7 linked regions of the Callithrix jacchus genome follow. The protein of the gene in region 1 interacts with the protein of each later gene in a pairwise test. Links are inferred from orthologs where the notes say so. Each region holds a gene or a part of one and is shown in the gene's direction. Other genes may lie near its edges.

What was found.
Region 2: the proteins of CHD3 (region 1) and IMMT interact in a two-hybrid assay, tested with the Homo sapiens proteins (2 studies listed by BioGRID and IntAct). The link is inferred for Callithrix jacchus from reciprocal best matches to the Homo sapiens genes CHD3 and IMMT.
Region 3: the proteins of CHD3 (region 1) and YAE1 interact in a two-hybrid assay, tested with the Homo sapiens proteins (2 studies listed by BioGRID and IntAct). The link is inferred for Callithrix jacchus from reciprocal best matches to the Homo sapiens genes CHD3 and YAE1.
Region 4: the proteins of CHD3 (region 1) and SIRT6 interact in a two-hybrid assay, tested with the Homo sapiens proteins (2 studies listed by BioGRID and IntAct). The link is inferred for Callithrix jacchus from reciprocal best matches to the Homo sapiens genes CHD3 and SIRT6.
Region 5: the proteins of CHD3 (region 1) and HABP4 interact in a two-hybrid assay, tested with the Homo sapiens proteins (3 studies listed by BioGRID and IntAct). The link is inferred for Callithrix jacchus from reciprocal best matches to the Homo sapiens genes CHD3 and HABP4.
Region 6: the proteins of CHD3 (region 1) and SERBP1 interact in binary tests that used the Homo sapiens proteins (3 or more experiments, as listed by UniProt). The link is inferred for Callithrix jacchus from reciprocal best matches to the Homo sapiens genes CHD3 and SERBP1.
Region 7: the proteins of CHD3 (region 1) and PTN interact in a two-hybrid assay, tested with the Homo sapiens proteins (2 studies listed by BioGRID and IntAct). The link is inferred for Callithrix jacchus from reciprocal best matches to the Homo sapiens genes CHD3 and PTN.

The regions. Positions count from the first base shown.
Region 1 is NC_133506.1:74,381,829-74,386,008, forward strand, and holds the start of CHD3 (chromodomain-helicase-DNA-binding protein 3), read left to right. Parts: upstream 1-1,380; 5' UTR 1,381-1,411; coding exon 1,412-1,679; intron 1,680-1,758; coding exon of another isoform or gene 1,759-2,305; exon of another isoform or gene 2,306-2,332; intron 2,333-2,768; exon of another isoform or gene 2,769-2,916; intron 2,917-3,611; exon of another isoform or gene 3,612-3,624; coding exon of another isoform or gene 3,625-3,664; intron 3,665-4,180. Other genes in the region: uncharacterized protein LOC144582572, read right to left, coding at 1,759-2,305.
Region 2 is NC_133515.1:26,833,178-26,836,677, forward strand, and holds part of IMMT (MICOS complex subunit MIC60), read left to right. Parts: intron 1-1,491; coding exon 1,492-1,628; intron 1,629-3,500. UniProt on the Homo sapiens protein: Component of the MICOS complex, a large protein complex of the mitochondrial inner membrane that plays crucial roles in the maintenance of crista junctions, inner membrane architecture, and formation of contact sites to the outer membrane.
Region 3 is NC_133512.1:8,037,086-8,041,346, forward strand, and holds the end of YAE1 (protein YAE1 homolog), read left to right. Parts: exon of another isoform or gene 1-615; intron 616-929; coding exon 930-1,051; intron 1,052-3,143; coding exon 3,144-3,573; 3' UTR 3,574-3,761; downstream 3,762-4,261. UniProt on the Homo sapiens protein: The complex LTO1:YAE1 functions as a target specific adapter that probably recruits apo-ABCE1 to the cytosolic iron-sulfur protein assembly (CIA) complex machinery. May be required for biogenesis of the large ribosomal subunit and initiation of translation.
Region 4 is NC_133523.1:3,924,703-3,928,805, reverse strand, and holds the start of SIRT6 (NAD-dependent protein deacylase sirtuin-6), read left to right. Parts: upstream 1-1,303; 5' UTR 1,304-1,327; coding exon 1,328-1,393; intron 1,394-1,537; exon of another isoform or gene 1,538-1,614; intron 1,615-2,242; exon of another isoform or gene 2,243-2,417; intron 2,418-2,935; coding exon 2,936-3,063; intron 3,064-4,085; coding exon 4,086-4,103. UniProt on the Homo sapiens protein: NAD-dependent protein deacetylase, deacylase and mono-ADP-ribosyltransferase that plays an essential role in DNA damage repair, telomere maintenance, metabolic homeostasis, inflammation, tumorigenesis and aging.
Region 5 is NC_133502.1:77,381,277-77,385,500, reverse strand, and holds the start of HABP4 (intracellular hyaluronan-binding protein 4), read left to right. Parts: upstream 1-1,424; 5' UTR 1,425-1,570; coding exon 1,571-1,919; intron 1,920-4,224. UniProt on the Homo sapiens protein: Ribosome-binding protein that promotes ribosome hibernation, a process during which ribosomes are stabilized in an inactive state and preserved from proteasomal degradation.
Region 6 is NC_133508.1:104,649,693-104,653,192, reverse strand, and holds part of SERBP1 (SERPINE1 mRNA-binding protein 1), read left to right. Parts: intron 1-1,835; coding exon 1,836-2,009; intron 2,010-3,500. UniProt on the Homo sapiens protein: Ribosome-binding protein that promotes ribosome hibernation, a process during which ribosomes are stabilized in an inactive state and preserved from proteasomal degradation.
Region 7 is NC_133512.1:109,978,627-109,982,735, forward strand, and holds the start of PTN (pleiotrophin), read left to right. Parts: upstream 1-1,309; 5' UTR 1,310-1,497; intron 1,498-4,109.

The DNA.
Region 1 (4,180 bases):
TTTATCCTAAAAATTTGTCCCATTTACCCCCAAATTAAAAGTCAGTTGAATTTTACATTCTAGCAATTGGAGGAGGGGAAAGCAAGGGAAAGGGGGGAAAAAGTAAAGATAAAATTTACAACAATTATAAATCACTGAAAAGGCTGGGTAAAGGGGAGAATCAAACATGGACTCCTTTGAAAAAACTCAATCATCGTATCTATTCATATCTCTCCCCCAAAAGTCACTAGGATTTCTATCACTTTTTTTAAAGAAAGAAGAAAAAAATCCAGTCCCGCTTCTCATTTAGAAGATCTGTACACAATTAAATGCGTTGTGACTTCAATGAGGTATGTAGAAACAGAGTTATATATAAACATATATTTCATCTTTTTCCTTTTCAATGCCTGAAGGGGAAAAAAAACCTTCACATCAAACCACTCCCTTCTGAAGTATTCAAAAAAAAAAAAAAGCTTTTCTTTAGAGAAGGGAGGTGGGGAGGAAGAGACTAGTAAAGAAAAGAAAAAAAATTAAATCTAGTTGGACTAGTATCTAACTAGTTAACCTTTAACAATTTATGCTGATGTCAGACTGAGCATGAGTACTGATTAATGCCCCCCCTCAAATATTTTTTATAAGGGGGGAGTTAGTCACAGCAGCCATTTTTGTTTTATGCAGAAATCCTTCATGCCCCCCCAACACACACAGACACACAGACACACACACACACTTCAGTACACAAGGAAAATATCTCTATTAATCTGTGCACTAATCAGTTATGAAAAAGGAGAAATTTGTGGGTTTCTGGGTAGAGGCTTGGAGATGGGGGTGTAACAGGGAGGAGAATGGGGGGGTGAAAAATGAAATATTAAGCCAGCCATTTTGTTTGAAAAGGGGATTTTCCCCCCTCTCCTTTTCTTTATGGAGGGGGTGGCGGTGCTGGAGGGGGGGTTGTTTTAAAAATAATTTCAAGGCGGCCATCTTAGTGCCTCAGCTCTGAGAAATATTTCTGAGCGCCCCCCTCAGAATTTAAATATATTTAAAGCAACGGAGAGGGGGGCAGAGAGAAGTCGAAAACTTTTATATATATACACACATATATATGTATATATATATATATATGTTTTAAATCCCCCTTTCTTGTTCTCTTGGGAGGAAAGAGAGAAGGAAAAAAAGTCTTTCCTCAATTTTTTTCCAAGACAATTTTTGGGGGTGGTTTGGCCCCCCTCCTCAGACAGCGGCCCCGAGGGTGGGGGTTTTGGAGGGGGGTGGCCCGGGGGTTTGGGGGGCTGGGGGAGGCGGTGAGGAGGAGGACGCCGCCGCCGAGGAGGAGGAGGAGGAGGAGGAGGAGGAGGAGGAGGTGGTGGTGGTAGCGGTGGGGGAGGCGGGCGGGCGGTGGGTGGGGGGGTGGTGGGGGGGCCAGAGCCACAGGATGGCTTCCCCTCTGAGGGACGAGGAGGAGGAGGAGGAGGAGATGGTGGTGTCGGAGGAGGAAGAAGAGGAGGAAGAAGAGGGCGACGAGGAGGAGGAGGAGGTAGAGGCGGCCGACGAAGACGATGAGGAGGACGATGACGAGGGAGTACTCGGGCGCGGGCCGGGCCACGACCGGGGCCGCGACCGCCACAGCCCCCCCGGCTGCCACCTCTTCCCGCCGCCGCCGCCGCCGCCGCCGCCACCGCTGCCCCCGCCCCCGCCGCCAGGTAAGCGGCCGCCCGACTACCCCCCAAGCCCAAGTGGGAGCCGCGGGCGCGCGAAGCCGGGCGGGGGCGAGGCACCCACCGCGCGGCCGAGCCGAGGCGAATCCGGGGCGGGAATCCGGGGCTCGGGCCCGTGGCCCTGCGGCGGTCCGGGCGGTCGCTGGCGGCCGCGACCGCGGGGCCAGGCCTCCTCCCCTCCCCCGCTGCACCCCTCCCCCGCCGCCGCCAACGCCGCCGCCGCCGCCGCCGCCAACGCCGCCGCCACCCCGGCTGGAGAGCGCTGGGCGCGAGCTGCGCGCGCGGACCGGGCCACTCGGTCGCGGCTTTCGGGGGAGGAGGAGGAGGAGGGTTTTTTTTTTTACCCTCGGCGGGGAGGGGGTAGGCAGGAAACGGCCAAGGCGAAGCCAGGGCCCCCTCCCTGGCCGAGCGAGGGACCGCGGAGACCCTGGCGGCCGGACGGCGGCGTGGGGGAGGGGCGCGTGGGGGAGGGGCGGCCGCGCGAGCGCCCCTCGGGCTCGGGCCCCGGTGGGGTTGGACCGAGGGAGAGCGGGGTTTCCCCGCACGGAGAAGCCGGCGGGCCTGCCCCCTCCGCTCAGGACTTGGGCAGGCAGAGGAGGAACGGTGTCCATCGGACCCCCCTCCACCCGTGGGGACTTAGGTGTCCGCCAACTGAGGGGCGTTAGGTGGCACGAGAGGGAGGGGTCGTGTGAATGTTTGTGGGCTGCTGATAAGTAGGGGCAGGTGGTGGCCACAGTCCACCCAGACCACTTCCTGGAATAAGACTGGAGCTCCCCCAGCCTGTGCAGGGGACAGCGGTCCTTTAGGATTGGGGATCGGAGGGGAGAGTGTCTGGGGAACCACATGCCCCCAGCTCCACCTCCTTCATCTCTCCGGGGCACTGGGCTCTTTTGTGTCAAGTGCGGTGGGGGGGGGGTTCCCCTCCTGACCCCGTCAGTCTGGGGTGGCCAAGCTGCGCAGCTGTGACTCTCGCGCGGCTGCCATTCACTGTCACTCTCTCGCTGAAACCACCCACTCCCTGAGCACGTTGGGGGGCGTGAACTGCCCACCCAGCTGTTCTGCAGCTTGACCATCACTCAGCACCCGTTCCCCGGGGTGACAAGTCACCCGGCGGAATTCTCTGGGCGGCGCTCTCCAGACCGCTGCGCCGCGTCAGGCGCCCAGCGGTGTCCCCCCCAGACCACCCTCCTAGTGGAGTGATTTCTAGTCTTCTTTGAGATAGGTGAGCATCGGGGTGTCCACACCCCCTGCTTGCGGAACAGCAGGGGACGTCCGCACCCCCAGGCCTCTGGCTGCCATGCGGCACAAATGCAGCAAACTTCAAAACGGCCAACATCGGTCTCTTTGTAAAACTGTCATATTGATCCGTGTGACTTCTGTGGCAAACGTTCCCGTCTAGCTGAGACGACCTTTGGGGGAGCGGGGGGTGCTTTCTTGTGGGTCGGGGAGGGATGTGTCTCCTGGAAACAGGATAAAGTCTCCCCGCCCCCCAAGCTTGTCTGAAAAAGAGAAAAGTTTTTGAAAAAGTTCTCCCTGAGAGCCCCCCGCCATGGCAGGAGGGGAAGGAAAGGGGAGTTGTGGGGAGAGGGTGCCTTTGGGGTTGCCTCCGGCAGAGGCGCTGAAAAGTGGGAAAGAAAGGACGCCAGGTCCTGCCAGGGGCTTGGCAGCCCTCACCTATTTGTATTGGGACTCGGAATCTGGGGTGGGGTGGGGTGGGTCCCGGATCTGGGTACGTGCGGAGGAAAGAAGCGTGAAAGGATCGGAGGTTGAGATGGGTCTTTGTGTCAACCGGGCCTCCCCTTTCCCCCTTGGTTTTCTGAATAGACCAGAAGAAACGTCAAAGGCTGCTTACATTTTACATTAGAAATGAAAACCCATCTCCCCTTTCCCCCTGGGCAATTTTTATCTCCCTTTCAGCCCTCCAAGTCAAATGAGTGACCCAGATACACCCCCTCAGATGACTTTCGGAGGTAAAACTTCGGGAAAATATTTTTAGCCCACTCATTATTTCTGTCTGCCTAAGTGTGGGGAAAATAACCCTCCTCTAAGGAAATTTGTTCAGGCTGCCCTCGCTCTTGTCTAGAATATGCATTTGTGCACAGGAGAGGTTTCCATTGTTTTCCATTCCGACTGCTATGATTCTCACCATTTTGTTTTACATTCTTACCCAAGACCAATTTTATCCCTTCCCCCTCTCTTCAGTCTCCTTACATTGTTAAGCGTTTAAAATAATAGCACTCGTGTTGGTGGGGGAAGGGAGCAGGAAGCCAAAAACTCATTTCTTCTCCCTCCCCCTTCTGGCAAGTCGAGAGAAATAATATAACATAATATATAGATGTGATTCCTTGGGGGTGGGGGTGGGGAATGATTGTGGGTGGTGCGGAAAATTCTGGTAGTTTCTTTGCAAAAGGTCTGAAAATACAAACCCACCCCCTGCCTGCAGTACGCATGTGCAGCAGACCTATTATGGTGGTTCGTTGTGGGGG
Region 2 (3,500 bases), on another chromosome or scaffold:
AAATGACTTCTAACTAAGTGAAACGTTTCTTTTTTCTTTTAGTCATATTTTTTTTCTTCACTTTTCACTTGTCTCTCTTTATCATTTATCACATGGGCACCTTGAAATTAAGTTATATTTGTAAGCTGGAGATGTCTGCTATTTCAGCTGTTACTTTCTTTGCCTGGTTCCTCTCATCTTTCATTTTGGACCAAGTGAAAAATTTCAGAATTTTATCTATCACCTCTTAACTTTCTCTCAAATTTGACTTTAAAAATGTACATGCATATGTTTGCATGTGTAACATTTATCAAGGATCAGAATACAGTGACTAGAACTCTGAAGAGGGCTGGAAGCAGCAGGTGCCTTCCAGCAGCCCACTTTCTGTGGACTCCATAAAGTGGTTCATAACTACCTGTAGGTGATGTCTACTGTTCCCTTACGTATGTTGCGGGATCCAAATACCATGGTTTCCCTCCCTTGCCTCCTTCTCTCTTTTTTCCTGCTGCTGTTGTTTCATTTCTTTCACTTCTGTCAATTTACTTTTATTTTCTCCTTATTAGCTTTCTAGCTTTCCTCTTTTATCTTTCTTGCAGAGGTACCGTTTGTAGTTCATCTGATTGTTTGTTTTTGCTAGTTTATGCTGCTTTCGTTCAAAATTATCTTTTTTTCTCATTTGTCAAATGTAGTTTTTATTTTTGTCATATCGTTTATTATTAAATTAGTATTCTCACTAACCTTTCTTCGAATGACCTTTTTTTTTTTTTTTGCATTTTAGTAAATTATCTAAAATTGTTCTTTGCTTTACTTTTTGGTATTCCTGAAACAGCATATAGAAATATGATCTTAATAGGTGGTAGCCTCTCAAACATTGGTGTCTTCTTTTGAGTCCTTTTGTCCTTCTTTAAATAATTTTGAAAAAAAAAAAAAAAAAACACTTTTTATTTTGAAAAAGTTTAGATATACATACAAGAAAAAATTGTGTGGGCCGGGTGCGGTGGCTCACGCCTGTAATCCCAGCACTTTGGGAGGCCGAGGCGGGTGGATCACGAGATCAAGAGATTGAGACCATCCCGGTCAACATGGTGAAACCCCGTCTCTACTAAAAATACAAAAAATTAGCTGGGCATGGTGGCGCATGCCTGTAATCCCAGCTACTCGGGAGGCTGAGGCAGGAGAATTGCCTGAACCCAGGAGGCGGAGGTTGCGGTGAGCCGAGATCACGCCATTGCACTCCAGCCTGGGTAATGAACGAAACTCCGTCTCAAAAACAAAAAAGAAAAAATAGTGTAATAGAGCTTCATAGATTCATCATCCAGACCAAATTGTCAGTATTTTACCATACTTTTAAGTGAAACTTTGATTCCCTAAACTTGAGTCTCATGTATTTTGTCGTTCCTTTTCATATTTTTTGAGAAATACAATGGAAATCTCAATAGGAGAACAGCAAGTTTCCAGTCATTTGTGGGGGTAGGGATTTGTTTTTTAATTGTTCTTTTTTTTTTTTTTAAGCTCTAGCCAAGAGCTTAGAAGATGCTCTGAGGCAAACTGCAAGTGTCACTCTGCAGGCTATTGCAGCTCAGAATGCTGCAGTACAGGCTGTCAATGCACACTCCAACATTTTGAAAGCCGCCATGGACAATTCTGAGGTGAGCCCAATGATTAGAAGCTTTTTGGCTGTCATGACTTGTGGGACAAAAAGAAAAAAAAAGGGGGTTGGAGAGAAGTATAATATTTAATAGACTGCTTTCTTCCCTATGGTATGGACTTTCACTAGGCGAAACAGTCTAGAATAATTATCTTTTTTTGTTATTGTTGTTTTGAGATGGAGTCTTGCTCTGTTGCCCAGGTAGGAGTACAGTGATGCGATCTCAGCACACTGCAGCCTCTACCTCCCAGGTTCAAGCAATTCTCTGCCTCAGCCCCCTGAGTAACTGGGATTACAGGTGCCTGCCACCACACCCAGCTAATTTTTCTATTTTTAGTAGAGACAGTGTTTGCCATTTTGGCCAGATTGGACTCACTGACCTCAAGTGACTTGACTACCTTGGCCTTCCAAAGTGTTGGGATTGTAGGTGTGAGCCACTGTGCCTGGCCTTAGGATAATTATCTTTAAAAAACAAACTAAAAGGCTGAGTGTGGTGGCTCATGCCTATAATCCCAGCACTTTGGGAGGCCAAGGTGGGTGGATCATGAGGTCAGGAGATCTAGACCTTCCTGGCCAACATTATGAAACCCCATCTCTACTAAAAATATAAAAATTAGCTAGGCATGGTGGTGCATGCCTATAATCCCAGCTACTTGGGAGGCTGAGGCAGGAGAATAGCTTGAACCAGGGAGTAGGAGGTTGCAGTGAGCTGAGATCATGCCACTGCACTCCAGCCTGGTGACAGAGTGATACTCTGTCTCAAAAACAAAAAACGAAACAAAAAAAAACTGAAAAGCCTTTAAATTTTTGGAACAAATTTTCTACATTGTGCTTTATTTTATCTTACAATACTGATACAAGAATTAGTTCATATTTACTGTCATATTTTAATAGTGCCTAAACATTTTTGTTGTTTTCTTTAAAATTGCTGTTTCCATAGATGAACTTTTTAAGGTACTTGTCAGTTGACATGCAGTTTTAAGAAATAATTTGGAGAGATCCTGTGTTCCCCGAAACACCAGCTATTTGAAATGTTTATGATTATTTAATTTATGCAGAGCACTTCAAAGAATGAAATAATACTGATTTTTCAGATGTAATACTGGGACTCAATAAATTATTTTTTAATTACATTAAGTTATTCAGTATGTATGAATGTATCTCTATTCCAAGTCACTTAAGGAGTAATATAAAAGTAAAAACATAAAACATAAATATTAAGGATCAGGATCATTCATGATCAGTAAAGTTGCTTTGCCATCATAACTGTAGTTTTTAAAAAAAATTTAAACACACTTTACATAGTTTTAGTTATATGTATATATATTGCAAAAGAGTTTAAATTAGACCTCTGATGTTAGTAGTAAAAAAATACAACATTTGGGGCCGGGCGCGGTGGCTCAAGCCTGTAATCCCAGCACTTTGGGAGGCCAACATGGGTGGATCACGAGGTCAAGAGATCGAGACCATCCTGGTCAACATGGTGAAACCCCGTCTCTACTACAGATACAAAAAATTAGCTGGGCATGGTGGCGCGTGCCTGTAATCCCAGCTACTTGGGAGGCTGAGGCAGGAGAATTGCCTGAACCCAGGAGGTGGAGGTTGCGGTGAGCCAAGATAGCGCCATTGCACTCCAGCCTGGGTAACAAGAGCGAAACTCCGTCTCAAAAAAAAAAAAAAAAAAAAAAATACAACATTTGAAAACTTAAGGAAAATTCCATTTTATTCAAAGTTCAAGAAAAGTGTTTAAATATCAGAGTTCAGTCAGCAAAATGGAAACCACACAGGAAATTTAATTTGCTGGTTACAGATATGGGAAGGCTAGAAGTTGCATGATGTCAGGGTATTGGGTTCAAACCCAAGTAGACCAGTA
Region 3 (4,261 bases), on another chromosome or scaffold:
TCTGTGCCTTTTTGAAGGACAAAGGCAATCTCCCACAAATATCATAAAGAGTCCCAATAACAATCTGGAAAGCAGAGTTGCTAAAGCAGAAACAGTATATGATCCCGACACTGGCAATCAGGGTCTTCAACAAAGTAGTTATGGCAAGTCCTGCTCCGCATAGAGAGCTGAAAGAGTGCTGACATACTGCTCATCTGAACCAGAACCTGGCCCGAACCATGATGAAACAGGTTCGCTGCTCTTCCACTCTTCATTACATAAAGTTTATGAAGTCCTTCTTAGTCGTTGGATCCTGATGGTGCCTAAATTCACCATCTTAACAATGATAAATATTAGGAAGAGCAGTTATGATAAACTGTCCAGACAGTCCTGGCTGCTCTGTGACATCCACTTTCGCAGCATTAACCTCAAGATCTTCTCCCCATTCAGCAAAACTTTCCCATTCCAGGGCATCAGGGGCATAAAATTCTATCATCCAGTCTCCTTCCAGCAGCTCTCTCCAGTTCTCATGATGATGACGTGTACATTGCTCCACTGCCCATGGGTCCAGGGAGCACCCCAAAGCAACTGCACCAAGACTGCCAGGGGAACTGCAAGACTCCCAAAGGGTGCCATGTCCGCCGCTTGCCCACCTCACAGCAAGCACAGCGGCCCAACATTGGGTTTTTTAAAAACTGTAATTATCAGTGTTTTAAAAATTGCCCAGTAACTCTAGACTTCAAAAGTAGGATAAGTAATGATAAACCAATAATAAACTTATGAGAAGCATAGTCTGTTTTAGTGATGTTGTTATGCCGTATTATGGTCATTAACACAGTAAAGGCCTAATTCATCAGCTTTCTAAATTGGTTCTGTGCTTTTCTAGAAAAACCTACATGTGGTATACTTGGTGTTAGTTACAGCTGCATTTCTCCATTATTTATTTTTAGGAAGGTTATAGAGATGGAGTAGATGCTGGCAAAGCAGTTACTCTTCAACAGGGCTTCAATCAAGGTTATAAGGAAGGCGCAGAAGTCATTTTAAACTATGGACGACTCCGAGGAACACTGAGGTAATTTTTAAAACCTAAATGCTGACTCATTTTAAACTCAATACTGCTGGAGGCGTTTAAACTGAAGTGCTTTTCCTAGTGCTAAATCCACTGAAGCCTCTCACAGAACATAGAATTATATTGCCTTCAAAAAGTCAAAATTATTATCAGTTCATCCACTTTAATATGTGAACTACATATCGTCTTTTTGTGCAAAGAAATGGTAAGAAGATGTGTGCTTTTGCTACCTAAACAATCACCTATCTCATTAAAAGATCTTCAGGTTTTGATTAAAACTTTTGGTACTTGCATGCAATATGACAGACCTCTAGACAAGAAGTACGTGATGAAAATTATAGTTGGTAATTAAGAGAAAACTGATTTCATTTACTGTAGTCCTGACATTGAATACTTGTCAGGATGCCATCGCAACAACGGCATGTATCAGAGCCAAGTGGTCAAATGATACACAGAGCCGGAAGCCTAGCAGCCTTGTCCTTTTTGATGCTTTATACCAAGCTTGTCCAACAAGTGGCCTGCGTGTCGCATGTGGCCCAGGACAGCTTTGAATATGGCCAAACACAAATGCATAAACTTTCTTAAAACATGAGCATAATGAGATTTTTTTGTGATTTTTTTTTTCTTTTTTGTTTTTTTAACTCAGCTATCATTACTGTCAGTATATTTTATGTGTGGCCCAAGACTGTTCTTACAGTGTGGCCAGGGAAGCCAAAAGATTGAACACCCCTGCTTTATACCCTTCAAACTGTCCTCAGTAGAGAAAAACAAAATGCTTCAAAGAATCGCTAATTTTAAAGAAAAGTAGATAATAAAAGTTACCAAAATAGAACTAAAAAATTTATTGTGTTTGGAATTTTAGAGAATCCAACTATTAGGAACTAGAATCTATTCTGCTACAGTAGGAAACTAATCAATGTGAATATTCACATTATCAAGTTAAATCAATGTTATATAAACTTAGAAAGCTACTACTGAGTCTTTTACATCAATAGATTCTATTTTTAAATACTTTTCGTAACAACCATTATTTTATGGCATTACTGTAATATTAAATCTGTTAGGACTAGAAGAATTTTTACCTTTTTCGAGGAAATTGTTAGTAGTTCAGGAAACAATGTCTACTCTGTGACGTAAGCCCAGGAAAGTGAAGTCTCTTTAAAACTTCTTTTCTCGGGCCGGGCGCGGTGGCTCAAGCCTGTAATCCCAGCACTTTGGGAGGCCGAGGTGGGTGGATCATGAGGTCAAGAGATCGAGACCATCTCGGTCAACATGGTGAAACCCCGTCTCTACTAAAAATACAAAAAATTAACTGGGCATGGTGGCGCATGCCTGTAATCCCAGCTACTCAGGAGGCTGAGGCAGGAGAATTGCCTGAACCCAGGAGGCAGAGGTTGCGGTGAGCCGAGATCGCGCCATTGCACTCCAGCCTGGGTAGCAAGAGCGAAACTCCGTCTCAAAAAAAAAAAAAAAACTTCATTTCTCTAACCTTCATTTCTGATGGCAAGCAACTATATGCTTAGAACAATGGTTTTCAACTTTGGTTACACCTTGAAATCAACTGTGAAACTTAAAAAAAAGATGCCCCGGAGATTCTGATTTGATTGGCCTGGAGTATACTCTGGGTCTTGATAGGTTTAAAAGCTCTTTGGGTGATTCTAATGTGCATCCGTGATTGAGAATTGCTAGTTTAAATTCTCAATTTAACTAATTCTAATTAAATTGCTATTTAAATTCTTCTGACCTTAAAGAAGAATCTAGTTTTTCTTTCTTGGAGCTGTATTTATCTTCAACAGATACCACATAATCATAAGAAAAAAGTATAAAATCAGGAAAAGTGTATACGGAGTTGTGAAAGTGGTTATGAATTATGAACAGTCTTATGATTAAGTCCAATTGTTTAATTGTTATTGAAAGATAATTTAAGGTCCTGTTTACTGTTATTACTTTCCTGATTCTGACTGCATTATTATCCTTAATCCATTTTTGCACAGTATTATCTGGAAGAGAAATATGTCAGGCTTAGCATCAACCATTCTAAAAGCCTGTGACTAACTGTCTTTGTTATTTAACTCTTGTGTATATTTCTGTTCAGTGCTTTGCTCTCCTGGTGTCACCTTCATAATAATAATTCGACTTTGATCAATAAAATACATAATCTTCTGGATGCAGTTGGCCAGTGTGAAGAGTACGTGCTCAAACATCTGAAATCAGTCACTCCACCATCCCATGTTGTAGATTTATTGGACTCCATTGAGGATATGGACCTGTGTCATGTCGTTGCAGCTGAGAAAAAGACTGATGAAGCTACCGATGAAAGACTCTGTGAAAATAATGCTGAGTTTAACACAAACTGTAGCAGGAGCCATAGTGGGATAGATTTTTCATATTTAGAATGTTGTGGAACACAGGAGCATGCACATTCAGAAAACCCAAGCCTCACGTGGATTTTAGAACAGACAGCCGGTTTAGTTAAACAGCTGGGCATATCAGTAGATGTGTTACAACACCTCAAACATCTGTAAAAATTATCTTCCCTTTTCTAATGTATATAATGTTCAGAACATTTCTTAGAACACTTGGTTTCCTAAGAATCAAAATTTGTACTGGTTTCTGCATCAAACACTCCAACTGTGGGGTTATCCTTTATGAAAGTTTGACATTTACACTATTGTCTTCAAAACTAACACTATTAAATGTAATATAAGCCTTTTTTCTTTGTCACTGGTAATTTTTATCTAGTTTTAAGATACGGTCAGAAATTTCCATTGTCATTGCCATTTCAAAACTTATCGTCAAAATGAAGTGTTTTCAGACTTATTTGCAAAAGTAAACAAGAATTACACATATTTTATAAGGACCTACCCCTACTTCTACCTCCTGTCACTGCTAGGTGGTCAGGACCTCACCAAACCTAAGTTATAAAAATAACCTAATAGCATATAAACACATAGACAGATATATAGATATAGATATGTAGATATATGCTGAAATTAAGAGACTGTTAAGTGTGAGAAACTAAAGCAGTGTTTATGCTGTTGATTCAATGATTAACAGCAAAATACTAACGTGTTTTAGTTTTGTGTTAATTGAAAGGACATTGTTTTATGAAAAATACAGAAAATATACTTCATGCTTGAATCTAAGGAAAATACCTACTTGGTTTTTTTCTAAGTAGTAGGGAGTCAGTAGTGTTGCCTAACAATGTGCTGG
Region 4 (4,103 bases), on another chromosome or scaffold:
GATCAGCTCTGAGCGGGCGGCCGCCCCAGGGGGCTGGGGATGAGCCGAGGGAGGAGACAGGCTGGCAGCGGCTCTGGCGGGAAGACACCCACGATCTTCCCTATCATCACTGGACTGATTTCAGATTCTGGAAGGAGCCACGCTCTTCCTGTCTCCTCAGCCTTTGCACTTGCTGTTTCCCCCACTGGGAACATTCTTTCTATATTTCAAGTCACTCCCAACCGGCTCTACCTGACTCATGCACTCTTTAGATCTTTGCTGCAACATCCCCTCCTCCAGGAAGCCCTCCTGGATGCCCCCAAGCTGGGTCAGGTGCCTCCTGTGAGCCCCCTCGCTGCCCTGTGCCCTCTGCATCCCCCATTGCACCGCAACCACACCATGTCACCATTACCTGATCACATCTTTGTGTCCACCCCCAGCCACCAGGGCAGGGACGGTACCATCTTTGTTCCCCAGTGTGCCCAGTGCACAGTAGGTGCTCAACACATGATTCTTAAATAAGCCCTCCAGGCCACCAGCCCCAGTGACCACGAGCAGGAAGTGTCCTGCAAAATTCAGAGCCTCCACTTGTATGATATTCAGATAACCTGGCCCGGCGCGGTGGCTGACGCCTGTAATCCCAACACTTTGGGAGGCCGAGGCGGGTGGATCACCTGAGGTGAGGGGTTCGAGACCAGCCTGGGCAACATGGTGAAACCCCATCTCTACTAAAAAACACAAAAATCAGAAAAAAGAAAAAAAAAAATTAGCTGGGCGCGGTGGTGGGCGTGTGTAATCCCAGCTCCTCGGAAGGCAGAGGCAGGAGAAACGCTTGAACCCGGGAGGAGGTTGCAGAGAGCTGAGACTGCGCCATTGCATTCCAGCCTGGGCGACAAAGCGAGGTTGTCTTACAAAAAAAAAAAAAAAATTCAGATAATTCAGGGTGGCATTCAAGACCCTTGGACTAGGGGGTCCCTGCTGTCTGGCACTGTCCTTATGGAATTTACTAACACGTAAAACGGGGTTATGGGGGCATCGATAGCCTGCGTCCCTCATTTTAGAGGTGACTGGAGGACTCTCACGTAGGCGGCCGCCCCAATTTCCCGCTCGGGTCATCGGGCAGCCCCTTCCCAAACCCCGAGAATGCCTGCAGCCAAGAAATCGGGTTTCCTTCCGACAGCAGTTAACATGGCTCCTGCGGCGTCAGCACGCGGCGCATGCGCCTTGCCGAGGGAGGCAGGGTTCGCGGAACAGGAACGCGGCTCCTCCTTCCTCCCCGCCGCGCCCCGCTTCCGGCGGAAGCGGCCTCAACAAGGGAAACTTTATTGTTCCCGTGGGCGCGGCGAGGATGTCGGTGAATTACGCTGCGGGGCTGTCGCCGTATGCGGACAAGGGCAAGTGCGGCCTCCCCGAGGTGAGCGCATCCGGGGATCCCGAGGGTCGCTCCCAACGCCGTTGGCAGGGAGGGTCCGGACGGCAGCAGGGCATTGTGGGAATATCAGGAGACACTGAGGCTAGACAATGGGAGGGACTTCCCAGTGAGGAAGGGGCGGGAAGTGACACCCCTGCGCACCCGGGGACGCGAACACGCCCAACTCTGTGGCCACCGGCCGGGGCTGGTCGGGGAGAGCGGGGGTGTGTAGTTCCAGGAGGAGGGGACGGCAGGCGCAAGGGCAGGGTGGTGGAATAAACGCACCTGGAGAACGATTAGGCCGGGGAGGTTTCCAGAGCCGGGCCAGGGCGGGGCTCAAATGCCAGGCTGGGGAGTTGGCACCTTCTCCCGAGGGGGATGGAGAAGGGTCTTGCCCTGGCGAGGGGCCTGGACAGAATGTGCCAGGAAGATCCCTCCAGCCACTCGGAGGGGAAGTGGAGGGGTCGGCTGTCCCCTCCGCGCCCGGTGGGAAGTCACTTCAGTTCTGGGTCCCCATCCCCATCCTTTCTGCGGAGGCTGTCGCCTGCGTGAAGATGGCCCCGTCCCATAAAGGCTGACCCATGCATTCCGAGTCTTGCATTTAGTGAGCGCTGACGGTGTGTCTGTCCAGAAGCCGCGCTCTTCATTGCTGCTGTCAGTCACTTTATTTATTTACCTACTTATTTTGAGGCGGAGTCTTCCTCTTGTCACCCAGGCTGGAGTGCAATGGCGCGATCTCGGCTCATTGCAACCTCCACCTCCTGGGTTCAAGCAATTCTCCTGCCTCAGCCTCCCAAGTAGCTGGGATTACAGGCACGCGCCACCACGCCCGGCTAATTTTTGTATTTTTAGTAGAGACGGGGTTTCACCATGGCCAGGATGGTCTTGATCTCTTGACCACGTGATCCGCCCACCTCAGCCTCCCAAAGTGCTGGGATTACAGGCGTGAGCCACCGCGCCCGGCCTGTTAGTCACTTTCTTCCACCAACATTGATGGAGCACCTGCTGTGGGTCAGGCACTTTCTAGGTAAGGGGGCCACAGTCAGGAGCAAGACAAGTTAACCCCTCTTTCTAATAAGGGAGACTGACTAGGGGTTGTATGGAAACCAGGTGGCCAAGGGAGGCGTCACTGTCGCTGAGGTGACATCTGACCCACAAGTTACAGGAGGTGAAGGAGGCATCCATGTGGGTATCTGGGGGAAGAGCACTCAAGGGTGTGGGGACAGCCTGTGCGGAGGCCTTGAGGCAGGACTGTGCCTGGCGTGATGGAGGAAGAGGGAGGAGGCCTCCCTGCGTGGCTGGATCAGAGTGAGTGACGCTGGGAAGGGAGCAGAAGAGAACATGAGGGGGCAGGGCTAGGGCTTTAACAAGGCAGGTGGGAGCCACGGAGGTCTGTAGGCAGAGGACACACATGAGGACAAGCTGCCTTTTCCAATCTATTTCCTGCCCCAGGCAAGAAAGGGACAGCTCGGTCTGTGGCTCGTGTATGGCCTGGCCACTTGCGGGACCTGTTCTGACCCCTCCATCTGCTCCTTCCCCCTACAGATCTTCGACCCCCCAGAGGAGCTGGAGCGGAAGGTGTGGGAGCTGGCGAGGCTGGTCTGGCAGTCCTCCAACGTGGTGTTTCACACAGGGGCCGGCATCAGCACCGCCTCTGGCATCCCCGACTTCAGGTCTGTGAGTGAGTGTGCAGGGGACATCGGGGCAAGGCCCACCAGCCTGCCACGGCCTTCCCCGTGAGCCACACAACTAGGCATTAGGGCCCATCCATCTTCCTTCCTTCCTTCTGGATGTGTCCTGGACACTGGGGAGGGCTGATATTCCCTCCCTTTAGGACGTGTCCCTTGAAATCACAACCAGCATTCCACTCACCCCCTTGGCCTGATCACACCTGGCTGGAAAAAAAAAAAATCAGAATTCCAAGGCGTGAATTTTTCCTCCTCCTCCTCTTCCATAACCTGCTGTGGCTCCCCATTACCAGGCAGGAAGAATTCTGAATTCCTGGTGCTGGAAGCTCAAGCCCTTTGTTCCTGGCCCAGCCCCGAATCACCTCTCCAGCGTCAGCTCCTCCTGCCCCTGCTACAGCCCCCAAACACTTGCATTTTCTCCTAAACTCATGGGTTCTTCCCAGCACCCCGGCGTCTGTTTACCCCTTCTGTCTGATATTCCCTCTCACCCTTCAAGAGACGCTCAGACTCCTCCAGGAAACCCTTCCACATGCCCCAGCGTCCCCACCACCTCCACTGGCCTTCCCCAGGCCCAGGTACCTCCTCTGATCCAGTCTTGACCCCGTGGGGCCAGAGGGTCTGTGTCCACCTGTCTCCCCCAAGATCAAGGGTTTCTGGAGGGCAGGGCTTGGGTCCATGTGCCCTGCCAGGCTCAGGGCAGCAGCAACCAAGTTGATTGAACTGAATAAGTCATTTTTGCCTTCGTGTGAATTCATCTCTCCCTCTCTCTGTCTCTCCCTCTCTCTGTCTGTCTCCAATTCTAACTTGACTTTGTCTTTAACTCGTTATATCTCTGTCTCTGTCTTATTCTGTCTCCCTCTCCCTGTTCTTCCAAATTTACCCTCTATTTCTTTCCGACTCCCTCTCTCTGCCTCCCTGCCTCTCTCTCTGTCTCCTGATTTTCTCTCTCTCCGTCTGTTTTTCTGTTCCCCTCTCCCCCTCCATCTCTCCCGGCCTGCCACCTTCAGGGGTCCCCACGGAGTCTG
Region 5 (4,224 bases), on another chromosome or scaffold:
ACCACACTTGAGAAGCACTGCTTCAGGCCAGAGTTCTCTTTGGCATCTTTGAACTGGTCATCACCAAACCACAACACCAAGATTCATTCTCAACCCCTTCTTAGGTGCAAGAGAAACTTTCCCAGAATACTTCTCAGATCCGTTCTGCCCAAATTGCCCCACGGCCTATTCCTAAGCCAGTTACTAAGAAGGAATTGGAATCAGGTGCTGTGAATAATTTATGGTTAATCAAGTTTGAGGCTGGAAGGGGCCGCTTCTTCTGGGGAATATGATGCCTGAACAAAATACAGGCTCTGGGAAAATGTAAGAGGGAAAAAGAACGGCTGTAGGATAAGCAGCCAAGCGTGTCTGCATCAGTGCCCATGCAAGATTTCCTGGAGAAAGTCCAGTCCAGCGTTCTCTAAACTCCAGGCCTCAACTGAGTATCTCAAAAGAAAACAAATATCCAAACCTCAACGTGTCCAAGACTGAATTCATGATTCTCATGAAAGTAGTCTCTTCCAATGGTGACTAATACTACCACCAGATGCTGGAGCCAGGAAAATAAGAGTCACCATACCTTCTTCCTCATCACTACATCTAGCTCATCACCAAGTCTCTGAATCCTCCACTCTCTTCACCTCCACCTCTACCAACCTAATCCAAGTCACTATCAGCAATTGCCTGGAGCTTTGCAACAATTGTGTTTGGCTTCCCTGCATCCATTTGTATTTCTCTCCAAATTATTAGTTCACAGTGCAGGTCGGGTGGCCTTTTCAAACCCAAATCTGCTCATGTTCAAAACTTGCTTCCCACTGCTCTTAGAATAGGGATGGACGACTTTGAGCTTGAATAGGCTGTGCATACCCCACCTCAAGACTGCTGCACTTGCTGTTCCTCCTCCGGCCCCTTGTCACCCCCTCTCTCAGCTTAACTGTCACTTCCCAATTAGGTCAGGTCCCTCTGCTGCAAGCCCGTAGAGAGAGCTCTGCGCCTGTCCTTCAGGGCACTTTTTCTCCATCTACAGACTCAGACCTGTGCAAACACGGAGCTAGTATTTCCCACAGCATAACGCCTGGCACACGGTAAGTGCGCAATATGTAGCTGTTGAGCGGCTAAATGTATGCATAAGCTCAAAGCAGAGTGGCCGGTAACAAGTACGGACGCAGTCCGGGGAGAACACGCACGCAGCCGAGCCCCCACCACCAGTCCGCGCCGCCGGGACAGCGGTGGTGTCTCCGGCCAGTAGCTCCGCCCCTGGGCCCCGCCCCTCTGTACTGCGCGGAGGGGGCGGGGCTCAGAGGTCGCGTGACGTAACAGCAGCCGGTCGGTGATTGGGCCTCCCGGAGAGCCGGCTCGGAAAGGGGGCGTCTCCCCGCGCGCTGATTGGCTGTCGGGCGAGGCGAAGCGGGTGGTGGCGGCGGCGGCGGCGGCAGCGCGGGGGCGGGCGCCGGGAGGGGCCGGGCCGGGTAGGGCCCGGAGGGCGGTGGCGGCGGCGGCGGAGCAGCGGCCGGCATGGGTCCTAGCCGCCAGCTTCGCTGAGACGCGCTCGCGTGGGCTGCCCGCCCGGGACCACTGTGGTCGTGGCGGCATGAAGGGCGCTCTGGGGAGCCCCGTGGCCGCAGCCGGCGCCGTGATGCAGGAGAGTTTCGGCTGCGTGGTGGCCAACCGCTTCCATCAGCTGCTGGACGACGAGTCGGACCCGTTCGACATCCTGCGCGAGGCCGAGCGCCGGCGCCAGCAGCAGCTGCAGCGCAAGAGGCGCGACGAGGCGGCGGCGGCGGCCGGGGCTGGTCCCCGCGGCGGCAGGAGCCCGGCCGGGCCCTCTAGCCACCGAGCGGGCGCGGGCGGCCGGAGGGAGTCGCAGAAGGAGCGCAAGACCCTCCCGGCACCTGGCGCTCAGGGGCCCGACAGCCCTGGGGGCGGCCTGCAGGCGCCGGGTACGCAGTGGGGAGCTGGGGAGCGGGCCACGGCGCGCCCCGCTGTGAGGCTGGGGTCCCGGGGCCGGTTCCTGGAGGCGGGGCTAGGGAAGAGCCGGGAGAGTTGAGGGTCCTGGTGGCCGCCGAAGGTAGGAGGAGAAGGGCGGGGATCACACCCCTTCCAGCCCTCACCAGCCGGTTGCGGAGCTCGGGGGAAGCGCAGGCGGGGTGGGGTGAGGTGGAGCCCCCAAACCCTGGCACTGAGCCTTTACGGCAAGTTGGACAAAGTTGAGGGAGGTTGCTGGGGTGGCGTGTGGGGGCGAACGCTGAGGTCGCTACCCTGGGGCGCGCACATCCAAGCTGGCGGGGTCCTTCTCCATCCTCCAGCTCAGCCTCTGCAGGATTGAGGTCGGAGCCACCCGAGAACGCGGTAGGGAAGAGGAGGGCGCCCGGCCCCGGGGCTGGAGGTCTCTGTGATGCGGGAGGCCTGGGCGACCGCAGGGCGGCCTGTGACGTCCGGGTCCGGGAGGGGCGGGCGGGGGTCCCTGGCGCCGTCCGGCCTGGCGCCTTCGCCCTTTCCCCGTCCGGTAGCGTCCAGCAGGCAGCGGGCATCGTATTTCAGTACTTCGTGTGGTGTTGATGGGATGTGGAACTTATAAATAACTTAAGGCCGCTTTAAGAAAAGCGTTTTTTACCTTTCCATCAAGAATATTCGGAGTTCCCTACTCGCTGTTTAGCAGGCAAAACCAGTGCGCAGCGTGGTGTTTTGCTGCCTGCGGTCGGGGAGGGTGCTTGAGAGTTCATTCTCTCACCTGAACTGCGTCAGTGGCAGAGCCCGCAACACTCCGCCTGTGTTTCTTCTGTTTTCTTTAAATGAGACAGCGGTCCCAAGATTTGCAGAGTGTTAAGATTAAAATGTGTAGTTTGGCCACTCCTGCCAACGTTTGGCAGTGTGTTCAACTTCGTTTTATTCGTTTGTTCCTTGTTTGATAAAGATTGTGCATCGCAGCGTTGTGGAAAGGTCTCAGGTTTAAGTATTCGGGCTTTGATGTGCAGCTGGGTCATGTTTACCTTTATTTGTGAAAAGTTAAATCCAGAGTCATCAGTCGAGAATCAAGTCACTATAATAAAGATGTTGAAAATGATTTTAAAAAATGTTATTCTCTCACGACTCTTTGGTAGGCCAGTAAATTTCTGAGCCTATCTAAACTGTGAGATTGGAGATATATTGTGCATTTTATATCCTGTTTTTTGTGTTTTTCTCATAAATGTATTTACATGAATATAATAAAAGAACTGAGAAAGGCTAAGCTTTTCTTCTCCATTTTTTTAGCAAATGAAAATACATATTCTATTCCGAAAAACATGAGACGGGTTAGTACTGTTAATACATTGATTTTTAGCCTTTTTTAAATTGTCATGCATTTTTGTTATAAAAATTTTAAGCAGTTCCAAAATGCATGAGGTTAAGTGAAAATCCTCTTATGTTTCCTGCTGTTAACACTTTGCATTTATATACATAAATGCACAGGGCTATTTCTTTTCTTTCTAAACTTAAATGATACAAACTGGTTGCAACCTGTTTCCTGCACTTAATGTTGTCATGTGGTACACCCATAACTTTTTTTCTGTCAGTTGTTCCGTCTGAGTGATCTGGCTTTTGAAATCAACTGAAGATGTTGAGTTGATTTGTAGTTAGAATGGAAATTTTATCATTGACGTTCTTTTTCAAGTATGTGTTTTTTTTCAGGAGCAAACAGCTTATTAATTTCCATTTAGGTAGTTGCTGTACGAAATTTATCTATGATGGATGTCAAAGAGCTAATCTCTCAAGGTTTTGTAGCCCGGGTTGATATGACACACTGTACCAAATTTTTAATTTTGTTAGAATATTGTAAGTGAATGTTTAGACAAAAATAAAATATATTTGATATCATAGAAATACTAATCCTGAAAGAATGTGGAAGTCACAAGCTTTTCATATGGAAATGTAGGGTTTTTGTTTGTTTTTGAGACAGTCTTGCTTTGTTGCCCAGGCTGGAGTGCAATGGCATGATCATGGCTCACTGCAACCTCCACCTCCTGGGTTTAGGCAATTCTAACAGCCTCCTGAGTAGCTGGCATTACAGGCATCTACAGCTAATTTTCTTTTTTCTTTTCTTTTCTTTTTTTTTTTGAGATGGAGTCTTGATTTTCTGTCACCAGGAGTGCAGTGGCACCCTCTTGGCTCACTGTAACCTTTGCCTCCCGTGTTCAAGTGATTCTCCTGCCTCAGCCTCCCCAGTAGCTGGGACTACAGGTGCATGCTACCAAGCCCAGCTAATTT
Region 6 (3,500 bases), on another chromosome or scaffold:
AGCCTCCTGAGTAGCTGGGGAACTCATGCCTGTGCCACCAAGGCCAGCTAATTTTATTTTTTATAGAGAAGGGTCTCACCATGTTAGGTATCACCCAGGCTGATCTTGAACTCCTGGGCTCAAGCAGTCTTACTGCCTCTGCCTCCCAGAGTGCTGGGATTACAGGTGTGAGCCACCACACCTGACTTTATTTTTTATTTTTATGTGGTTGGTTGGTTTTATTTTTTTTCTGAATATTTTTGATCTGTGGTTTGTAATGAATTGAAAGCATTGGTTTGAAATAGAAAACATTTAAAAATCAGACAGCATATATAATTGACTTTAATTTACTGATGTTTTTGTGAATTTGTTTTTAAGTTTCTGGGCTCCACTTAAATTAGTATTAGAACTTTCTGTTGCCTTACAGTGTATTGATGTGGCACAATGGGATGACATTGAATACTATTATGAGATGATGTAAGGGTTGAAAACATAGATTAAAACAAGTTTATTTGCACTTCAGAGGGTAGTTATTAACAGCTGTAATATTGTAAGTTGAATCTAATGGAGTTGTAATAGTACAGGTTCTACTGAAAGAATAAAATGTTTATTATCCCTTAAAGAGAAGGATTTTTTTTTTTACATGTATTTAGGAAAAACTGTACTTTAAAGTCAAATAAGCAAAGATTTTAGAAGATAAAACCCATCCCAAGCATACAAGAAGACAACAGGCATCGAGCAGTGTAGAATTGTCTGACCTTTTGCTTTTTTCCCCCGGACTGGGTCATGTATCTTTATATAAATAGAAAAACTGGATTTCACAAACATGACTACATTTTTAAGAAGGTTCTAATTGGGCACTGTGGCTCATGCCTGTAGTCCCGGCACTTTGAAAGGCCAAGGCCAATGGATCTCTTAAGCCCAGGGTTTTGAGACCAGCCTGAGCAACACTGCAAAAACCTGTCTCCATAAAAAATTTTTAAAAAATTAGCCAGTTGTCATGGAATGTGCCTGTAGTCCCAGCTACTTGGGAGGCTGAGGTGGGAGGATTGCTTGAGCCTGGGAGGTAGAGGTTGCAGTGAGCCCAGATCATGCCACTGCACTCCAGTCTGGGTGACAGAGTGAGATTTTTGTCTTAAAAGAAAAAAAAAAAAAAGGTTCCTGACATATTTAACATTTGGTCCTCTTTGTGCATAGCTTTCCAATGTGTGTGGTTATCTTTGTGCATAGCTTTCCAGTGTTTCCCTCTTAATGTAAAGTGTGTAGTGTTTTACTTGAATTTGTAGCTCTAATTTGTATAGAAAAACATAATAGTTGTATATTAACAGAAAATGCTTCTAAGAAGTTTATATGTAATACTGTCTTTACCCAAGTTGTAGTTGGAAGAGTGTAGAACAGAGGTTTTCTTTTTAACTTGAGTGTTCTTTTTAACTTCAATGTTAGTACTAGTAAAATAACCTTATATGTCTTCTATCCAAAGGTCTACATCAAGGATTCACATTGGAGTCCTAAACTGAAGGGCATATTTAAAATGTATTTGTCCAGATTTCACTGCTAAAGATTATGATTCAGTAGGTCTGGGATGGGTTTCAGCTATTTGCGTTGATTGTGATAACATATATGACTTTAGTTGAGGACTGCTGGTATTACCTGCAATTTTGAGATAGAGAGAAGTGAAGGAAATTCTTTCTTCAAGATCACTATAGCTGAGTATAGCTTGTTACCTGTGGAGACGTTTGTTGACAGAAAGTACAGTTTTTGGAGTTTTGGTCATTTTAGAAGAAAGCTTATTATTTAGGAATTTTGCAACATTGCTTTTCTACTACTTACTCAGTCGTCTTCACTTATATTTTTAGGCTCATGCTGAAGATTCGGTTATGGACCATCATTTCCGGAAGCCAGCAAATGATATAACGTCTCAGCTAGAGATCAATTTTGGAGACCTTGGCCGCCCAGGACGTGGTGGCAGGGGAGGACGAGGTGGACGTGGGCGTGGTGGACGCCCAAACCGTGGCAGCAGGACCGACAAGGTAATTTAAGTCCTTCTTTTCCTTTTAAGTAATTTAAGGACCTCTTATAAGTCACTGACTGGGTCTTTTTGTGAACGTAAGTAGAAGTAGTAGCCATGTCTTCAGGAAAACACATGTTAGGTTATATTTTTGTTTAAAGCACTTAAATGCCTTTTTGTATAAAGTTAGTAATGTTTAATTGCCACACTTTAGAGTTCCTGTTAGGTGCCGGTCCTGGTGCTGGGCTAGGCATTTTGTGTGCTTAATGTCATTTAATTCTTGTTACTATGATGACATTCTCATTTTCCACATGAGGAAACTGATAGAGTGAATCAAGTTAACTCTTGGCCTTTGCTAAGGTTTACCTGAAAACCAGTTGTTCACTTTGATAATTCCTAACTGCTTTTTAGGTCTCCGCTTAATAACCGTTGTGTTCCCTGTATAACTTCTTTTGTGACACTCATGATTGTTGACACTTTTTCTTTTACTAGACTCTACTGTGAAATCTGGAATTCATTTTTGTCTTATTTTCTATAATCTCTCCAATGCCTTGAACAGTGCGTGTCACAAAATAAGTTCTTAGCTAAATATTTTGATGAATTCCCAAGTAATTGATAGATATGAACTCAGATCTGATGCTTGGAAACAACCATAATGTCCACCTAAATTCTCAGCACCTGATACACAAATTCAGGGACCCACCTGCTTGATTCAGTCTGTCTTTGATTATAAGGATAACTTAATAGTATAGATTTTGTGGTCTTTACTGCCAGTGTAATGATACTTTGTTTCTACCTCTAAGACCAATCTGCTTTTTTTTTTTTTTAAGGCAGCAATTAGGTTGATGGGTTTTTCCCATACCTTTTTTAGTTCTGTGGCTGTAAAAAGCAGTTTGGACTCCTTTTTTCAGACTTATTACCTTGTTGATTGTTGCTACTTAAATATTAGTTTCTTAGCATGCTTTTTCACATTTATGCCATTCTTACTTAGCAAGTGGAAAAAGTATAAGAATACTGAACAACAGGCCGGGCACAGTGGCTAATGCGTGTAATCCCAGCACTTTGGGAGACTGAGGTGGGGGGATCATAAGCTCAGGAGATCGAGACCATCCTGGCTAACTTGGTGAAATCCCGTCTCTACTAAAAATGCAAACATTAGCTGGGCACGGTGGTGCATGCCTGTAGTCCCAGCTACTTGGGAGGCTGAGGCAGGAGAATTGCTTGAACCTTGGAAGCAGAGGTTGCAGTGAGCTGAGATCGCGCCACTGCACCCCAGCCTGGGCTGCAGAGCGAGACTGTCTCAAAAAGAATAAAAAGAGGAATTACTGAACAGCAGTGTGAATTCACATACATAATTGCATGTGAATCTACTTGTGTGGTTTATTGGAAAAATAAAGTAACTGGCTGGGCACAGTGGCTCACGCCTGTGATCTTAGTACTTTGTGAAGCCTGGGTGAAAATCACCTGAGGTTTGGAGTTTGAGACCAGCCTGGTAAAAATCGTGAAACCTGTT
Region 7 (4,109 bases), on another chromosome or scaffold:
AAGTAAGTGAAAGGAACTAGCCAAGGAGCAGGAAAAGCTGGTAAGTAGCAGAAAATCTCGAGATTTACATTTTGAAAATGTTTGGGTAAATTTGTGTAATGCATCTTAATCTTAATACAATACTTGTATCTCATCTGTATCATGAATACTTACCTCTGCATTGACTTAGCATCTTTCCTCAACTGAATGAAATGAAAATTTCAGAGAGACACAAAGCCCAGCCTCCAACTTTTACAAACCTCAGCATTTGAGCTACATTGACACATCCTCTAAATTCTTGGGTGTCAAAGGCATGTTACTAAATAGGTCACTAAAGGCACCAAGGAAACCAAAAAAGGAGAGAGCTCTCCCTAAAGGTAAGTAGTACTTAATTGGGAGTTTTCAGACGTCTGTCACTCTTTGTGACAATCGAGAAAAAGTACTTTGTACATTTTGTGCTTTGCAGATGAGATGTGACTCACAGCTGGGTAACTGCCTCTGTGTATAGGGAGGGCTTTGGCGGGTGGGAAAGAAGAGGCTGGTTTGAAGAGAATGCTTTTTCTATTTTTTTTTTTTTTTTTTTTTTTTAGACAGACTTTCCCTCTTGTTACCCAGGCTGGAGTGCAATGGCGCGATCTCGGCTCACTGCAACCTCCACCTCCTGGGTTCAGTCAATTCTCCTGCCTCAGCCTCCTGAGTAGCTGGGATTACAGGCACGTGCCACCATGCCCAGCTAATTTGTTGTATTTTTAGTAGAGACGGGGTTTCACCATGTTGACCAGGATGGTCTCGATTTCTTGACCTTGTGATCCACCCGCCTCAGCCTCCCAAAGTGCTGGGATTACAGGCTTGAGCCACCGCGCCCAGCGAGAGTGCTTTTTCATCCTGAATATCATTAAAGAATTGTGTGGGGCCAAAACTGTAACCTAAAATGCAGTCAATTGTTCATTTAAAATATCCCAGTTGGCAAAGTGGCTTTGCACCATCTGAAGACTTGATAATGCATGGAGTTTGGAAGAGAAATACTGTGTTTGGTCTCTGCTAAAAACAAAACAAAATGCCATCTCCTGGCCTCTTAGTTCAAATCCCTTTTCTTGCTCCATGGGGAGAGACTGCCCCTGGAGTATTCTGCTTTTAATAAGCTTCCCAATCAGCTCTGGAGCGCAAAGCGCTCTCCCTCCCTCGCCCAGCCTGCGTCCTCCTGGCCCGCTCCTCTCATCACTCCCATTCTCCATTTCCCTTCCGTTCCCTCCCTGTTGGGGCGTAATTGAGTCAAAGGCAGGATCAGGTTCCCCGCCTTCCAGTCCAAAAATCCCGCCAAGAGAGCCCCAGAGCAGAGGAAAATCCAAAGTGGGGAGAGGGGAAGAAAGAGACCAGTGACTCATCCGTCCAGAAGGCGTGGAGAGCCGCAGCCACCCAGAGCTGCAGCGAGCCGCCCATACCTGGACTCGGCAGTAGCAACCTCGCCCCTCGCAACAAAGGCAGCCTGAGCGCCAGAGCGGACATTTGCAACTCAAAGTAAGTGAGAAGAACGCACGATTTCTCGGAGGGCTCTTCGAGTTTGCCTTCACCCTGTGCCACTTTTCTGGGTGCCAGCCGATGATGGTGGTAGGAGTGAGAGAGGCTGCCTGGTGTCGTTGCTGATAGGACCGCTTTCAAAACTGACTTGCTTCAGGGACGAAGGGAGGCATATTTTGGGGGAGTGAGGTTAGGTTCGTCAGGGAGTGCTTAGGTAAGTGTGAGAAGTTTTTGTGATGTTAAGCGTGCATTTGGACCCTGTTCCAGCTGCCAGCTGGAGAGCAGGCCAGGGCGGGAGAGTGCATCTTTGCTTTTTGTAAAACCGGGAGCTTTAGTAGGTGTGTCTGTGGCTGGGTAGTTGAAGAGAAAGTAAGGCAGCCTGAACAAGCAGCTCTCATTTTCCAATCCTCTCTCTGATTCTCTGATTGCCCCAGGGCCGGCCAGCCCATGACTCTTAGCTGGCATTTCTAGGTAAACTGTGGGGGCTTGTTCCTCCCAATGCTAGCTGACATGGAACGTCTCTCACAGAACCACTGGCACCCTTATTCCCACCTGACAGCCCAGGAATGGTTCCAGAAATGGTTAGACCCAAAGCTTAGAAGATGCCCCCTGAGTCCCATATAAAGAACTGCCCTGTACATAGACCCTTAAACTTTTAATTTGACCCATATGAACCTAGGGTGTATTTGTTACTAATCGACTAGATATTGAGAGTTTCTAAGTTGATGTTTCTAATAAGTTATGAAATTTTTTTGAGAGGAATATATTCAACTCCTTTCTTACTTAATAGACTGAACGTGAAGCCTTCTCTCTCTTCTCCATACACACACACACCCCTTTTTCCATGACATAACACGACACAACACACACGCGCTCATACAAGAACACATACATGCCGTATAGATCCGCTTTATTGTTAACTCACCCTTGTGTCTATTAAGAGCTGCTTTGTAAGTTTGGGAATACATTCAGAAAATAGGAGGGGTGGGGGTCCTAAGAGGAGAGAATAGTAAAGTTCCCATCCTTGAGCATTTTAAGAGTTATCAAGCATTTTGCTTTAGCAGCTTGAGAAAGGGGTGGGGTGTATGTGTGTGCGTGCGTGTCTGTATGTGTGTGTGTGCGCGTGCGCGCACTGGAGTAAGGGATCTGGGAGAAGACTTGGTAAATTACCAAAAAGAGCTTTTGAACTAATAACATAATGAAGCAATTTTATGATCCAAGGCAAACATGGAATTGATGAAACAGCAGAGCCCATTTTAGCCCCTTAATTATCTAGGAATGCATTGATATGTAGAAATATTAACAGGTAATGAGAATGAAACAAAAGAGAAGTCTCCCAACGCAGAAAATAAAGCTTGTATTTTCCATCTTCATTATGTTTCTTTTTAAGTAAATTATGCATTTTAAAGGCCAAATCATTAAGGAATATGTAGTCCAGTTAAATTCAGAGGAAATTAGAATGAATATTATCTTTTTTTTTTCTCCCTTTGGGACATGAGTTATTTCAGACTGGCAATATTTATACGTTTTCATTTAAATTAGATGAGATTTTTAAAAATTATATATTTTTTCAAAAATACTCTAATGCCATTCTTTTGTGCTTTAAGAAACTTGGGCCTTAAATTCTCTAATTGTGCTCTAAATACATAGAAGATGATCTTTTTTCCTGCCACTGCTCACTGATTCCCTTTGGGACATCTTTTTCTTCATTTAGTGAAAAGCCACTATAAGGAACTCCCATCTGAAGCCACATGTAACAGCATTATTAGTTGCTGTGTTCCAGCTGTTTGCTTCTGGATGCAAATGCATTATGTTCTCAAAGGTAGAGCTTGAGATATACACAAGTACTATTTAATACATGACTTTTAAATTATCTGACTTTAAATGAGATATTACAGAGAATTAGAGTAATAAAGTATACCTAACTATATTTATAGTCTAATGTATTGTATGTATTATATATAATTCTCTGTTTTTTTTAGACTTCTTTTCATGAGATCATGAGATTTGGAATCATGAACTTCCTAATTTATTGACATTTTCCATGTGCCTTATTTGGGCTTCACATATAGCAATGTGTAGCAAGACCTACATTTCTTTTTAATGAGCATTTTCATTTTTTGAAAGATTTCAGTAAAGCTAATGGCCCTTTTATAAATATAAAATTATAAAATTTTATAAATTTTAAACCTGAAACAACGGAAAACAACAGAGAGAAATAAGATTTCCAGATAGTTGAATCATTTTTATTCAATAAAATTAATCTTTGATGTCAAATATTTTAACTTTAAATCTTTTATTTTTTCTTTGACAATACCCTTGCTTTCTCACCTACATGACATCCTCACATGAATTCTAATCGTATTCCTATTTGTGACATTGTGTTTTCAATTACTATTCAAAAATATCCTAGGAAACTGAGTTTAGTTGGCTTGTTCATAATGATGTGATAAATTTAACAATAGATTGAGGGCCAGAAGTCAGAATTCAGATACGAATTCCCTTTCTCTAAACAATTATGTTTTTTAATATGGCGGTATAATGATAAGGGGAGTTGTTCTTGACTTCTCTCCTGAAGGAGGTGTCCAAACTGGACCACCCAATGTGATGAG